Linked DNA regions of Lonchura striata. The protein of the gene in region 1 purifies or fractionates together with the protein of each later gene. This does not show direct contact. Links are inferred from orthologs where the notes say so. Each region holds a gene or a part of one and is shown on either strand. Other genes may lie near its edges.

Region 1 (7,744 bases):
CAGGTAAAGTCTAGCTGAGCCTTAAAAAAAGGATATATAAATATCAGAGATTCATTCACAGCCACTTCCCCACTCATACATCCCGTAGCTGCATATTCCTTCATCTATTTCAGCTCCTAATGACTGCAAGGAAGAGGTTGAGAGTCAACCTAAATTGGTTCAGCTTTTACTCTTCACAGGGCACAAACTTTAATTTCAACTACTCTTTACATAATTTAAATAATACACACGGTGCTCTCTTTATTTGATTCTCAAACCAGCTGTATCTCAAGCACAATGGGACATGTCACCGACACTTGCTTTGCTGCCCTCATAATATGGTTTAATTATGATGACTGAACTAACAGGCTCACATCATAGACTTTTACAGGTTGACCCTGTGTCATCCTGATGTATCATTTTGCACCAGTTCAGTGCTGTAAATCAATTTAAGATCTCCAGCAGGTTGAAAAGGCTGGTAATGATGCTTTCTCTGCAGTCTCTGGGGACTCCACATTATACACAACTTACATTATTTATAAAGCTGAGATGATGCCTCCATTAGGCCTGTAAGACTACTCAAATGATATTTTACGCACACAGCTTGGGCTGCACAGAGCAGAATACTGGCAATATGTAATATCCAGTGCATTCATGCTTTAATTTAAAGAAAAATAACCAAAACAGTCATAACCCCTTCATTTTTAAAATTTAAATCTTTATAGCAAGCAAAGAAATTAACAGTTTAATCTGAATAATTTTCTAGTACTCAGAAACACAAGTAGCACTTTTATTAACCTTTGTATTGTTTTTCTTCATGTTCACCTATTCTGTTTTCAAACTACAGAGGAAAAACAAACACCAAACTCATCAGTTTCAAATAGTTGATTTGATAGTTACTATTTATATGAAAACAGAAAGATCTCCATCTGTTTACTCAGTCACTTGTCTCAAATGTATCAGATCATCACATCTTCAAGGGTACACAAAAAAGCAAGTTGAACAGAACAGAATAGGAAAAAAATGTATTTGATTACATACCCAATGGTAATGGGGTCAAAACAGATGCAAGGACAAATCCCTACCCTTAGGGTAACCTGATCAGCCTTGAACTGATCATTTCTCATAGCTGTGGAAGGCTTCTGGATCACCCAAATCAAGGGAAATTTCTCTCAAGTGCCTACTTACAGTCTGAAGTAAATTGCAAGACTTCAGCCCTAAGACCACAGCAAGGACTCCCAAAAGGGCCAGATCACTCTCATTTTCATACTGATGTTCTTTCAGTCATAACAGAGAAGTAAGCACCCAAACCCTGCACTAAAATCCAATGGGAACCTTGAAAAACCTTCATAGCACTGCTCTCTGGTTTAAGGGGGAAATTAAATACTAATCAGCTGCAACTAAAAACTCACGTCCCATAATTCAGCCAAATCATTACTCACAAGTAAAAGAAAAAAATAAGCCAAACTTATGTTCCCTCACATGATTTGCTCCTATTGTTTGACATGACAAGGTGCATACAGTCAGCCACATGAAGAATTACAGACACACACCTGCAAAGAAAAGTGTTCTCTGTGGGCTGGGTAAGCTACTGTTTTTAATCTTACTCCTGAATGCTGCTTGAAAATACATATAATTATTGGAAGAAAAAATTTTAAACAAGTTTTTTTTTCTGACTTCCCCTCTGTGTGCAAAACAGATTCAAACTATCAGCTATGACCGCTCTTTCCTAAGAAGCATGTTAGTTTTAAGGTGCAATATCTTTGAACACTGACATCCATTAAACACTGACATGTTTCAGGCAATGATCTTTTCCATTTGCCTGTATCTGAAATACACATTTACTTTTACTCCTCCCCATCTGGCTCTAACAATACAGTTTTCATTAAGCTCTGTTGAAAATACTTCCCCAAATAAAACTGTAGACACGCAGTGAGCATCATGTTATCCTAAAGTACACCAAAAAAATGATTAATTTTCAGAATAAGCTGTTGTTATCCAGATACTGTAAAAGCAAACTGTAAGGTCGGACTGTGTACCTTCTTCAGATTGATCTTCTAACAAAAGAGCAATCACAGCAACCCTGCCTCGGTCAGAACTCTCTCTGACTTCAGTTTATATTAAAAAAAAAAAAAAAAAAAGTCAGTATTTGGCCCAGATCATTTTGAACGCATGACTGAATATTTCCATGCCAGTAAATTTTAATAAGCTTTAAAGATCTATATTCAGGATAAGATTATTTGGCTGTACAAGTATATGAAGCAACTATACTGAAGAGGGGGAAAATCTCAAGCATCCAAACCCTCTAACAGGGAAAAGAAAAAAAAAAAGTGAACTTTCCTTGACCTCTAAGCGCAGATTTGTCATTAAAGAAGAAAGAAGGGGACGGGAGGGAAAAAAAAGCAGGAGGGGAAGGGGCTGCGGAAAGAAAGGAAGGGAGAAAAAAGAAGAAAGAAGATAAATTAGAGGGAGAGGGACGCGGCCGGGCCGCGGCGGGAGGCGAAGGGCTGCTCCCGCACACACAAAGGCGGCCCCTGCCCCGGCTCCGCCGCGTCCCCGCGATGGGGCCGGGGCCGGGGCCGGGGAGGAGCCGCAGGACGGCGCTTCCCGGCAGGGAAGGGCTCTGCCGCCCGCCGGGCCCGGCGCGGCACCTACCCACCAACTCGGAGCCGGGAGCGGTCCCCGCCGGGCCGCCATCATGCCGGGAGGCGAGCGGGAGCACCGCTGCCCGGAGCCGCTCCCGCCGCGCCGCACGGCCCCGCCGCCGGGAACACCACCGCAAGGACCGCGGAGGAGGAGGAGGAGGAGGGGAGGATGCGCGGGCACAGCCGCCCGGCCTCGGGGACAGTGAGCGGGGAGAGGTGCGGGGGAACGCGAAGTTGTTACCGGCTGGCGGGCGGTGACGGGCGGCCAGCAGGCAGCTCCTCCGCGCCGGAATCGGGATCGGGATCGGGATGGATGTGGCCCGGCCGGCGTCAGGCGGCCGGAGCCGCCCCGCGCCGCTCACCGGCACACTCACACACACACTCGCATACACACACGCACCGGCCCGGCCAGGGATCCTCCCCAAATTCCCGCCCCCGCCGCCGCGCCGCCGGGTCCCGCTGGGAGCGCTGCGCCCGCCGCCGGAGAGCGGCCGCGGCACGGCACGGCACGGCCCCGCACGGCACGGCACGGCACGGCCGCTGTGTGCCCTAGCCCGACCCTCGCCCCGGCTGTGAGCCCCCTCCGACACCGTCACTGGGGCTTAGGAGGCGTTTCTGCCCCGCCGGAGCGGCCGGGGAGCTCCGGCAGCGGGGCTTCGGGGACAGCGGAGGATGCTGTCGGACTTGGAGTTAAAGTCCATTCCTGACGGAACAGGATTATGTCCTGCCGCTTGCTACAGGTGATTCAGGCTTGACTTGGTCTAGTCTTAATACTGAAATAATTGCTGTAATACCTCCCAATGACAGAGCACTCTCTAACCCCAGGTGTTTTACACGTGGACATTCTCCTGCCCGTAGGTATTGCTGCACTTAGTCCTCATTCATGCGAGTAAAGCTATTACAGTGCTGGAGGCTTCTTGTGCAGTCAGAGCCACAGTAATGAAGCCTCAAGTCGCTGTCCCTGGGACTTGAAGTCCATTTGGATCTGCAAGTGTCGGCTCCAAAGTGGAACTGACTGAAAGTTTGGAGCTCACATGTGGAATGGCAAGCCTCTCCTGCCCGCTCACAGGATCTTTACAGTAGTCAGGTAAGTGTTGCGCAAGCAAGATTGAACTGAAACTGATTCTTTGGCTTTTACCCAGTCATCGTTCCTGGAAGGAGATTTCAAGCAACAAGTGCAAGATGTTCCTACGTGGCAAAATATTCTGATATGCCTATACACATAATTGTACCCCTAGACTTAGGCCAGTAAATTTTGACATGTATAGACAGTTCTGGTATGACTTTAAACTAATTTTAAAGTCCAGGAACACTGAGGCCTGGAGGACTTAAGGCCCTGAGAGTTTTACCAGATGAACAGTTGTCCTGCCCACCCAAGTGCATTGTGAGTCTGAAGACACAGAAGTGGAATGGCTTGCCCAAGATCACAGAAGGAGCACAACAGCAGCAGTAAAAAATACCCAGGTCTATGCCTGTGAAGGTATCAGCGCTTCTTTCTAACTTCATAATCTAAAATTCATCCATTTCATTGCCACATATGCCACATAAATACCACATATATTGCAAACAGGTGAATTGTACAATTTTGTTAGGGATTATGCTACAATAATAGTAGAGGAACTCCCACACAGGATGATGCCATAATATTGATGGGGAAAGCCTGGAATAAAATTACTCTTTTACTGCTTAAATTTTGAACCTTGAATGATTCAAGATGAGTGAACTTTGGTAATCAGCTTTAATGTGTATTTTGTGCTTGCACTGTACACAACTACACTTAGCAAGTAAACTTCTTTCTATGTGCAATCACAGATATAGTGCAGCACTGGACTGCAAATACAACTGGTGGAGTTTATCTCAAGACAAACTGAATGGTCTTTAAAGTTTGGCAGTGTAATGAAGGCATTTGCGAGTAAAGTACAGGAGAAACATGAAACTGATATCTGGTTTTTGTACTGTGGTAGTGTCCTGGATCAAGAGTAGTGGATGCAGCAGTAGTACCTGCCCAAGAGCTTGGCAGTCTCAGTGATCCAGTCTCACACAGAGAAAAACATGGAAAAGGCCTTTCATGTGCTTGAGCTCTGCTGTAATGTGCTCTGCAGGCTGACTTCGTGGGCACAAGCTCCATCCACTGGATCCTGGTTGCTGAAGTATCAATTCATGATTCACACTAAACAGATATGACAAGGAGATAATTAGGGAAGCACTGCAGTTTGTCAGGTGTCTTGTTAGAACCACATTTTTACTGCTTTTGTTGTTGTTGTTAGGGTTGACCGGTTGGTTGGCTTTGGCATGAGAGAATTAAATTATTTTCTACTTACATTGAGGCTTGGGGAGGATCACATTAATATGCTGCTTTCCTTAAAAAAGGCTATGAAACAGCCTAGGAGAGTCTTTCTCTGATGTTTAATAACCAGAGTGGTTGTCCTGGAGGGGGCTGGGTAGCCTGGCTTCAGACAGAGCAGTGGTGTGAGAAGACCAGGGGAAAAGGCAGAAACAGTGTGCCCTGGTCAGATCTTCCTCAAGGCTTCCCTGCCTGGGCTGTTCTGGCACACTAGCCAGAATAAAACTTCAAGTCTGCCCCCTGCTTTAGGATGTGCAGGTGGAGCTGACTGTCCAAACCCATTACTCTGTGGGTGAGCAGCATCAGCAGTGTCTTACTGCACACTCACCACTTCTAAATCCACTGGCTAATTTAATACCCTGAATCATTAACTTCTTCCTGCCTTTTCTGAATAACATTAGAAAACTGAAAAAAGGAAATCAGAGAGGTATGTACACCTGGGTATCAACCTTGATGCTCCTCTGCACTGGGCTGAATAACTGTGCTATCTCAAGAGGCAACAGAGAATAGGTTTTTTCTCTTTTTGCTCTGCAGCTACATGATCATTCAGACTAGTGCAAGGAAAATAGGCCGTGAGGCTGGGGCAATGAAGAAAGAGAAGAACCATTCCGTCTGTAAACTGCCTGTCTTTTCATCAGATTAGGTGCACAATCTGATGGCACCATCAGTCATAAGGCCTGTGGACCTGAATTTTAATGGAGTAGGGGCACTTACACAGATAAATGTCTATTATGATTCTCAAAGGAAACTTTAATCTCACAGACACTTTCTAGCATCTCACCAAGCACCTGCCCAATCAGCTTTAAAATCTGTGTCTCGGAAACTGATTATCAGAAGGCTGAGTTCTAAAAGACATTCATTATGCTGCATATTTTAGACTATTCTATTATGTAACAAGCATTTAAGAAATACTACTACTACTACTAATACTGTGGCTACAACAACTATTGGCTTTTGATCTTCCTCCAAAATCCAATTTTGTATGTAGGTTATGATTTGGTATTTCTTGTTAACTTCAGCCAGGCTTCATCTGGCTTAATCAAGAAGTTCCAGGGATAGTGACTGTCTTCTGGAGACAGTTTAGCTCCAAAGTCAGTAACTTTGCTTTACCTTCATGTACACTAGGTTTCTGCCAGAAATTAGGAGTTTCATGGATAATTAAATAATTAAATTATATCAAACAGACAACTTATTATTTACATTAAAATCACTGGAGTAATTTTCTTTTCAGCCATTACACTTTTTGTTGCCTAGTGTGGGAAAATACCAACAATATTTTCAGAGAGAAGAGGCAGCTCTCTCAAGAAGAATAATAGCTTCCTAAGGATACTGGATTTCATTATTTCCTTCTTTCTTGGGCTGGGTGACAAAATGTATCACCCTCTATCCTTCATGGCTTCTCTGCTTTGTCTTTGAGTAGGCGAGGTATTAAACAAGACTCCTACCTCAGCATTATTAACATAGGATATGCAGACGGCTTAGCAACTGCATAGATCTATTTGGGAACAGTGCCTCAGGCAGAAGACAGCATGTGAGAGAAGGTAAGGAGCATTTTTAGGAGGTCATCATAACTGTGCAGCACTGCATATGGTTTTCCAAGTCCATCTGGATACAAGGTCCTGTATAGCCACAGTACAAGCCCAGGAAATAAGGAACTAAGTTGTAAAAGGCCTTGAAGGCAACACTTGAGGGCTCTCTGTAGTCTTGCTCTGGGAGTCTGGCCATTTTCTAGAATGAGCCCTGCATGAGTTTGACTCTATAGAGAGTCAAATACCTGCTTGGGACCTGCCTTAGTATTGTGACTCACTGTCATAGGCAAAAGAACAAAGAATTCATTTCACTCTCAGAAGTTCTTCCTAAACTGGCCCACTATGATTAAGTGGGATTCATATAGAATAAATGTGGAACTTGATAATTTTACAAGGTTATTATGTGTATACCTCTGTTATATTAAATAAGGCTTCTGCCATAAATCTATCTGCAGATACCAGAAAGGTTTTTGATCAGATTGAGTAGTCATTCATCTTTTCCACCCATTGGGATGATGGGAATCAGACCTAAATTCATTACTTTCTTAAGATTAATGTGCCCAGCTAAAGCTGCCAAGATCCTTATTAAAAGTTACAATTCCAAAAGGTTTGGGTTGAAATAAAGTATTAAGCAGGGCACTCCCTTATCTCCATTATTGGTTGTTTTCTCATCAGACTCTGATGCAAGGACTTTCCTCCAGCAATGTTACTTTTCTGGTAAAGAAGGGAGATTGCCCTCTGTTCTGACAGCTCATCACGTGCATCCACGAAGGACAGCATTCCTGTTCACTGCATTGCACCAGTACTGTACTTTATAGAGAATGGAATTCTCTCTTTGGATCTTGCCTGAATCAACATAGAAGCTTTTGAAAGTAGTTTCACTTTCTCCTGGCTATCACCTCATCAAGGGATAATGGACTCGGTGCAATCAAACATTATTGGTTCTTTGAAAATTAAATTTCTCTTCAGTCATTCAGCTTAAAAAGATTTACATAACTGGAATAACCTAGCTCTGTTGCTGGTTTCTTGGAAGACACCGCTAAGATTAATCTTATCTCCCACTTTAATTACTGTTTTCAAGTTCTTACAGTCCTTGTCCCAGTTACATCTTGTTGCGAAAACCACCAGAGAATGATATATTAAAATTTATTCAGGCAGGTGGCAGAGACAAAATTAAAGATAATAACTCTATGAGAAAAGAAATCAAAGGTGGTTTGGCAATCCTGAGGTGTTATTTCTTGGTCCCT
Region 2 (7,839 bases), on another chromosome or scaffold:
ATAAATAAAAGCTCTATCTTAGTCAGAGTGTGTGTCTGCCCCTTTAAACAAGTATTTGGTAAATTAATTCAGAATTTTCATAGTGGGTTTTAAACACTTTTTCTTTTCCAGGCTTGTGTATTGCCCTTCCACTCCAGACACAAAACCCCAAAGTTTGGAAATCTCTGACAGTGAGGCAGAGCCCAACCAACAAACCTGCAGGGGAGAACTGGGGAGGCAGGAGTTTGTTTTCCCCTCGCACCGGGGGGAAGGAGCAGGAAGCAGAATTGCTCATCCCCAGCCAGCCAGACATCCCGGTGTCTGCGAGTCCCCAGGGCCTTGTGGCACTGCTGCCCATGGAGCAGGACCGGTGCCAGATGCCAAGGCAGCCTCCCACCCACACACCAGGGATTCTGGGATCTAAAGGCAGCTCAGACTGAAATAAAAACAAGTGGCATCTAAAAAAAAAAGCGATTTGGCTGGCTGGCTCAGCACAGCACGGCATGGAACACCTTCAGGAGCTGCTGCAGCTGGCCCTAGACACAGGCATTTGCTGGATGTATACATAATCCAATATACAAAAGCCTGTCTGCTGGGCAAATCTAAGCTCCATAGGGATACTCTAAAAGCAGGGACTTCTCCATTCACGTTCTGAACACTTCATCTATAAACCACTAACCTGCACTACCGGCACAATTTATTTTTTTTTCTTAACAGGCACATTTTATTTCCATTCGAGCATTTAGAGCATTCAGCCCGCACCTCCATCCCTGGCGACACTCAATCGACCAGAAAAGTGCATGGACTTGTGTCTGGAGCATCAGTACCTGCTCCCTTTTTCTGGCTTCTTCCTTGCCTTGACCCCTGAGTGAAGAAGCCCTTAAAGACCCGAAATCACGCAATGCCAGATAAAGTCTGGGGCAGTGTGATGGGCTTCAAAGATCAAGGTCCACACATAGTAAAACATACAACCACACACACATAATTTAAACAAACTCCAAGCACCGTGGTCAGAAAACAACCAGAGAAATAAAGGTGCCATCTCGAGCACTGCTCCTCCACAGTGACACACACGCGGAGAGAATGGAGAACACGATTAAAATTGCTAAATGACTCCAAGGAAAAGCAGCTGGTAACAATTTGGGTATATCGATGAATGTTACAGAAATTCCCCCCGCCCCCTTTAAAATCACAGGCACCACTTACCCGAGGGGCTTTCCTCTTGTATTTGTTGTTATAGTCAAATTTTTCTTTCATTTCATCTAAGAGCTGGCCCAGTCTAGCTTTCTCCTCTTTCCCAGTATAATCCTGGCTGAGGAGGATATAGGATCTCCAGTTTGCAGAGTCAAAGCCCCAGTGGCAAGTCCTGTTTTCCAGCGATTTGTGAGAATGGACCACAAATTTGTGAGGTGGGTACATGAGCCTGCAGTCCAAGCACTGGATGCAGGCTGCGCTGGGGTTACTGTAAAGCTCTGGCACCAGGAGTCCCTTGCACTTCCCAAAGCACTCATGATACACCTTGAAGCTCTTCTCCGTGAGCTCCAGCTCAATTGTGCTAGAGAATTCCTTCTTGCAGTGGGGAGGATAGGTGCCACCATAAAGCAAGGCGTTACAAAGCCTCTCAGCATCAGTTTTCGTGATGAGCCCGCAGGAAGGAGCGGAGAAGGGCAGGATGCCCATGACTTTGAGGATTTCCAGCTGGTCAGCAGTGCATCTGGAGCAGTAAATATGTAGCTCATCACACACCGAATTAATCTGCTGCAGGGAGAAGTCCCTGAGCACCGAGTTCAGGATCTGGGGCAAGCAAAGCCGCTTCTCTCCGCCCACCACGAAGCAGGAGATGGTTTCCCCTTCCAGGATGGTCTCGCACCTCTCCGTGGATCTGTCCGAGGGCATGAAGAAGGGACCAGGCATGACCGGAGGAGGCTGGATCGGGGGCAGATGCAGTACAGGTTCCGCTGGGTCTTTGCCATTGTCTTTCTTGTACATCTCCTGTGCCCATCGTGCTGAGAAAGCAGCAGGGCCACCCAGGGAGCTCATAGAGCTCAGATGAAACTGTTCCAAGGTCTTCTGCAGTCCTGGATGAGGCTGGAAGCTGCTTCTACTTACAGTCTCCATTTTTTAGTTTCTATTCCCAAAACAAATAGCAAAAATCCCCAGTTATCTTCCACCCTGATGCAAATCCACTTAAGGGATTTTTTTTTTTTTTTAGGAAAAAATATTAACAAAATAAAACAACCCACCCTTGTGTTTTTCCTCCTTCTCACTCAGCAATCCACTAACGGAGAGGAAATAAATCCTTTTGTATGCGTGTCTCTCTCTTCTTTCTCTTCTCTTGCTTCACGTTACAATTTCAAACCCTCCAAGTCTCCAAGCTGCCCCGATGGAGCACAGAATCACGGCAAAAAGAGGTCTTCATCCGAGCACTCACCCCCTCAGCCAACCCCCAGGCAAACCAATCCCTCCTCCCACACCTCCAACACACACTCACTCACACACACACACACACACACACCACCCACAGAAACACAAAAAGTCTGTGCCACGCTCCGAGCACCCGGGCTCAAATATGTTCTGGCGGCTGCTGCTTCTCTGCAGTGATCCCCCTTCTGTCCATATCCACCGAGGGAAGGCGCGGGGGAGGAAAGTAAAAAGCAGGAGGAGGCAGCACGCTCGGTCTGTGGAAGGAACAAGGCAGGAGAAAAGGCCCAGATCTCCGGCACTGCCGAAGCGGCGCGGCGGCTCCGCACGGGCGAGGAGCGGCTCCGCTGCCCCTCGTGGTCCGTCCGCTCGGCCTGGGAGGGCTCCTCGGCTCTCGGTTCGCCTTCCTGCCCTTATTTCTGCCGGTGCTCTCGTTGTGCCGTGGGGAGCCGCGGTGAGAGCGCGCACATCCTCCCAGCTCCTCTTTCCAGCAGTGACTGAGAGTGCCTGAGAGCTGAGCTAATGCAGGCGGGCTCAGCCGCCCGCCCTCCGCCTCCCCCCTGTGTTTGTTGGTGTCTGCCTCAGTCATTGAATCCCGGCCAAGAATGTGACCAACTCCCCGGGCCGGGCTCTTCCAGGAACAGCGCCCGCCTCCCGCTTCGCGCTGCGCCCAGACCGGCCGGGATGTGCCGGGATCAGCCGAGCCGAGCCGAGCCGGGCCAAGCCGAGCCACTCCAAGCGAGCCCGGCCGCGCCGAGCACAACCGAGCTGATCGAAGCCCGGCCGAGCCGAACCGAGCTGGGATGTGCCGTGCTGAGCCGAGCCGAGCCGAGCTGGGATGTGCCGCGCCGAGCCGAGCCGAGCCGTGCCGAGCTCGGCCGAACCGGGCCGAGCCGCTGCACGGGCGGGCGGGCGCGCGGCCCCGGCGGCAGCGCCGGCGAGGGAGGGAGGGAGCGGGCGGAGGATAAACTGCTGGGTTCACGGACCGCCGCGCCGCCGAGGAGGGGCGGTAGGGCGAGGGCTTTTCCCCTCTCGCCGCTGCGTTTCTGGCAGCCGTGAAACGGAACAGGCGCGGGAGCGGCTCTGGTCGGGCTCACACGGGCACTCACGGCGCCCTGCCCGGCGTCAACTGCGGGCACACGCCCCGCGCCGACAGCAATCTCAGGCGTGAGAGCGCAACTGATGGGCGACAACCGCGCGGGACCAGAGCGCATCCTCGGGGCGCCACCGGAGCCCCCAACCCACTGAGCGCTACAGGCGAGAGACACACGTGTGCGTCCCTGTCCCGGCACACGTATGCTCCCTTGCTCCGACACACATGTGTTCCCCGCTCCCGGCACACGTCACACGCTCCTTCCACCCACAGGCGACGCTCAACGCGTGGAAGAGGCGTGAGAGGCGCAACCGCAGCGCGGGTGGGAAGGGGCTGGGGCTGTCCGAGCCCCCGCTGGAGCAGGAAGGCGGAGGCAGCACTAAGACCACGCTGGTGGCACACAGGCGGGTCGGCTCCTGGGCTCCCACCCGCGGGGCCGGGGCTGTCCGGTGTGTCCGGGGCTGTCCGGTGTGTCCGGGGCTGTCCGGTGTGTCCGGTGTGTCCGGCGTGTCCGGAGTGTCCGGGGCACCGAGCGCCCCCCGCACAGCGGGGACGGGCGCCCTCTACCGACCGATGAGAGATCACCGCGACCGCCCCGCGCAACCGCGGCCGCGGCACGGACACCACTGACCACTGAGCAGGGCACGGACACCACTGACCACTGAGCAGGGCACGGACACCACTGACCACTGAGCAGGGCACGGACAGTCACTGACCACTGACAGGGCACGGGCACCAACTGACCACTGACAGGGCACGGACAGTCACTGACCACTGAGCAGGGCACGGACAGTCACTGACCACTGAGCAGGGCACGGGCACCACTGACCACTGAGCAGAGCACAGGCACCACTGACCACTGAGCAGGGCACGGACACCACTGACCACTGAGCAGGGCACGGACAGTCACTGACCACTGAGCAGGGCACGGACACCACTGACCACTGAGCAGGGCACGGACAGTCACTGACCACTGAGCAGGGTATGGACAGTCACTGACCACTGAGCAGGGTATGGACAGTCACTGACCACTGAGCAGGGCATGGACAGTCACTGACCACTGACAGGGCACGGGCACCAACTGACCACTGACAGGGCACGGACAGTCACTGACCACTGAGCAGGGCACGGACAGTCACTGACCACTGAGCAGGGCACGGGCACCACTGACCACTGAGCAGGGCATGGACAGTCACTGACCACTGAGCAGAGCACAGGCACCACTGACCACTGAGCAGGGCACGGACACCACTGACCACTGAGCAGGGCACGGACAGTCACTGACCACTGAGCAGGGCACGGACACCACTGACCACTGAGCAGAGCACAGGCACCACTGACCACTGAGCAGGGCACGGACACCACTGACCACTGAGCAGGGCACGGGCACCAACTGACCACTGAGCAGGGTGTGGACAGTCACTGACCACTGAGCAGGGCACGGGCACCACTGACCACTGAGCAGGGCACGGACAGTCACTGACCACTGAGCAGGGTATGGACAGTCACTGACCACTGAGCAGGGCACGGGCACCACTGACCACTGAGCAGGGCACGGACAGTCACTGACCACTGAGCAGGGTATGGACAGTCACTGACCACTGAGCAGGGCACGGACAGTCACTGACCACTGAGCAGGGCACGGACAGTCACTGACCACTGATCAGGGCACGGACACCACTGACCACTGAGCAGGGTATGGACAGTCACTGACCACTGAGCAGGGCAAGGACAGTCACAGACCACTGACCAGGACATGGACATACAAAGCACATGGCACAGACAATCACTGACCAGGGCATGGACACACACAGCACATGGCACAGACAGTCACTGACCAGGGCATGGACAGTCACTGACCACTGACCAGGGCACGGACAGTCACTGACCATGGCACAGTCATTGACCATGGCATGGACACCTACTGCTTGGGGCACTGACATATCCACTGCCCCTAGCATGGTCACACACTGGCCATAGCACGGACATACACTGCCCATTGCACAGTCATTGACCATGGCATGGACATCACTCACCACGGACCATAGCAAGGACACCACTGACCATGGCACAGATCCCCACTCCCCATTGCATGGATCTTCACTGTCCACAGCATGGGCACACAGTAACCATGGCACAGACACCCAGGGCATGGACACCAAGTGCCCATGGCACGGACATCCAATGCCCAGGGCATGGACACCAACTGACCACAGCACAGACACCAAATGACTAGGCATGGGCACCCACTGCCCAGCAGCACTGCAAACTCCATTATGGATTTATTATTCAGGTCAGGAGTGAGATGCTTTTGCTTTTTATTAATAACAAATTTCAAAGCAAAAATCCTGTGTATTCTCCCATTTTCTATGGACTGCACACCCAGAAGTCAAACAAACATTTCAATCTTAGCATCACGATTAAGGAACAAGCTGAAAAGGTTTCCACTGTTATCTCAGAGCTCTGTCAACTGTGTGCCAAAAAGGGCTAAGGAGCACTTTCACACACCAGCACAACTGTTAATCGTGTTTGAAATTCAACAAAGACTTTAAGCCCTGCTCATCCATAGAGTGTGACTGAGAGACACAGACATTGAATTTTGGACAGTCTCCTCTGGAAGAGTTCATGGCAGTGGAACAGCAGAAAAAACACATCAGGACAAAAGAGGAGGAGCAAACAGACAAATATCCAAACAGTGCTTAAAAGAGCAATTGGAAAACAAACCCGCTGTGATTTACTCAGACTCATTGTAATGGGGCAGGACACACGCCAAGCTCTTGTGTTTTATTTCTACTTTTCTATTCTGAAATCTTGTTCAGAATAAAGGGGAAAGGTGTGTAAGAGTTGTGTAAGAGCTTTGACCTTGCCCCTAAGTCAGCATTTCCTCAGAGAGGAACCCACTCTCACGTACCCAACTTGGACATCAAGCCTCAAAGTGCTAAATGGCTTCAGAAGAGGCAGGAACCAAACACGTTGATCCAGGCCAGCAGCTGTGTCTTCATGTGCTCAGAGAAGACCCTTGGAGAATCTCCACCAAATTGTTTTAATAGGAAGCCACTGGAAGCAAGAAGGACCCTTGAAGTTTCTGTTTATAGAATCCATCACATGAGGATTTGGTGATCCATGAGTGGGATTTTTAGATATTACCACAATACCAAGGTCTAAAGATGGGATTTAACAATCTAGGCCATACAGCCCTTGTTGATTCCTGATGCTAAACAAGTTACCACATTAAGAGAAAGCAGGGCTAGAAATATTCCCCACTGGGTAACAGGATAATCTAAAAGGTTTTAATTAAGAATAATTTTTAAATTATAGTCTTCTTTCGATAATATGAGGGACATCCACCCATTCCACCATTTCCAAACTGAAGGGTGTGCTTTGGTAGAAATGAAAACCCCTCCCAGCATTCAGTCTCCTCTTAGAGAAGCTCTGACTGTGTGACAGGGGAGAAGCACCAGACACACAGTGAATTCCCCCAGGGCTGTGGCAGTTGACCAGACTGTCACCAGAGACACTCGGATACAATGGGGACCAGCAGCAGGATCACTCCCAAGATGCATTTAGTGCAATTTCAGGCCTTTTTATAATCCACTAAAATACAAATGGCCAGATAAACTCAAACATCACATCTGGAGTTCCTGATTCTTTTAAAGAACCAAACTAATGCCTGCAGGAAGTTTGGATAGCAATGGAAATGCTTCTCAGCTCTGGAAGCTGGGTTGCTTTTCTTTTTTTTTCACTCCCTCTCCTTCATCCCCTAGAAAGAAAGGACAGAAAGCAGTAGCTGCAGTTCATTTTAAGAGAGGTGCCGTTTTCTCTTCCAAACGACTTTTTAATGCAAGTAAGTCACTGGATCGTGCAAAAGATTGTTTATGGGTGGAATTTGGAAATGGAATTCCTGAAGCAGAGGGGACTACCAAAGAGACAGGAAGGATGGTCTTGTGGTTAAGACAGAAAACTCCGGACATCTGGGGTCTATTCCCAGATCTCCCACAGATTTCCTGTTGCCTTGGGCAAGTTGCTCAGTCTCTCTGTGCCTCAGTTTCTGTATCTGCAATACTCAGACAGTGAGCAATTGGAGTGGCAGCTTCCAAACCAAAAGCCATGACGGGACAGAAACCAAGCTCCAACTTCTGCAGTAACAAGACAGCAAAACTTCCTCGTTTTTACATCCCACAGACTCTGCAGAACCAAACAGCAGCAGGGCAGGAGAAGGGGGAGCCAAGGGAGCCGTCATGTGGCATTAAGGTGGCAGTGGCTTCTCAAGTCTCTGCCTCTCTATGCCGCATCTAAAAATCAGATTAATCTGTCCCCCAGTCAGTCTTGCTCCAGTTCCAAAGCCC

What was found. Proteins that work in one complex are often made in the same cells at the same time.
Region 2: the proteins of SMAD1 (region 1) and SKI purify together in Homo sapiens (affinity purification with western blotting, with the first as the bait; 3 studies listed by BioGRID). This does not show direct contact. The link is inferred for Lonchura striata from reciprocal best matches to the Homo sapiens genes SMAD1 and SKI.

Annotation. Positions count from the first base shown.
Region 1 is NC_134606.1:62,070,552-62,078,295, reverse strand, and holds the start of SMAD1 (mothers against decapentaplegic homolog 1), read right to left. Parts: upstream 3,016-7,744; 5' UTR 2,866-3,015; intron 1-2,865. UniProt on the Homo sapiens protein: Transcriptional modulator that plays a role in various cellular processes, including embryonic development, cell differentiation, and tissue homeostasis.
Region 2 is NC_134626.1:2,809,836-2,817,674, reverse strand, and holds the start of SKI (ski oncogene), read right to left. Parts: upstream 3,006-7,839; 5' UTR 2,223-3,005; exon of another isoform or gene 2,108-2,222; 5' UTR 2,098-2,107; coding exon 1,186-2,097; intron 1-1,185. UniProt on the Homo sapiens protein: May play a role in terminal differentiation of skeletal muscle cells but not in the determination of cells to the myogenic lineage. Functions as a repressor of TGF-beta signaling.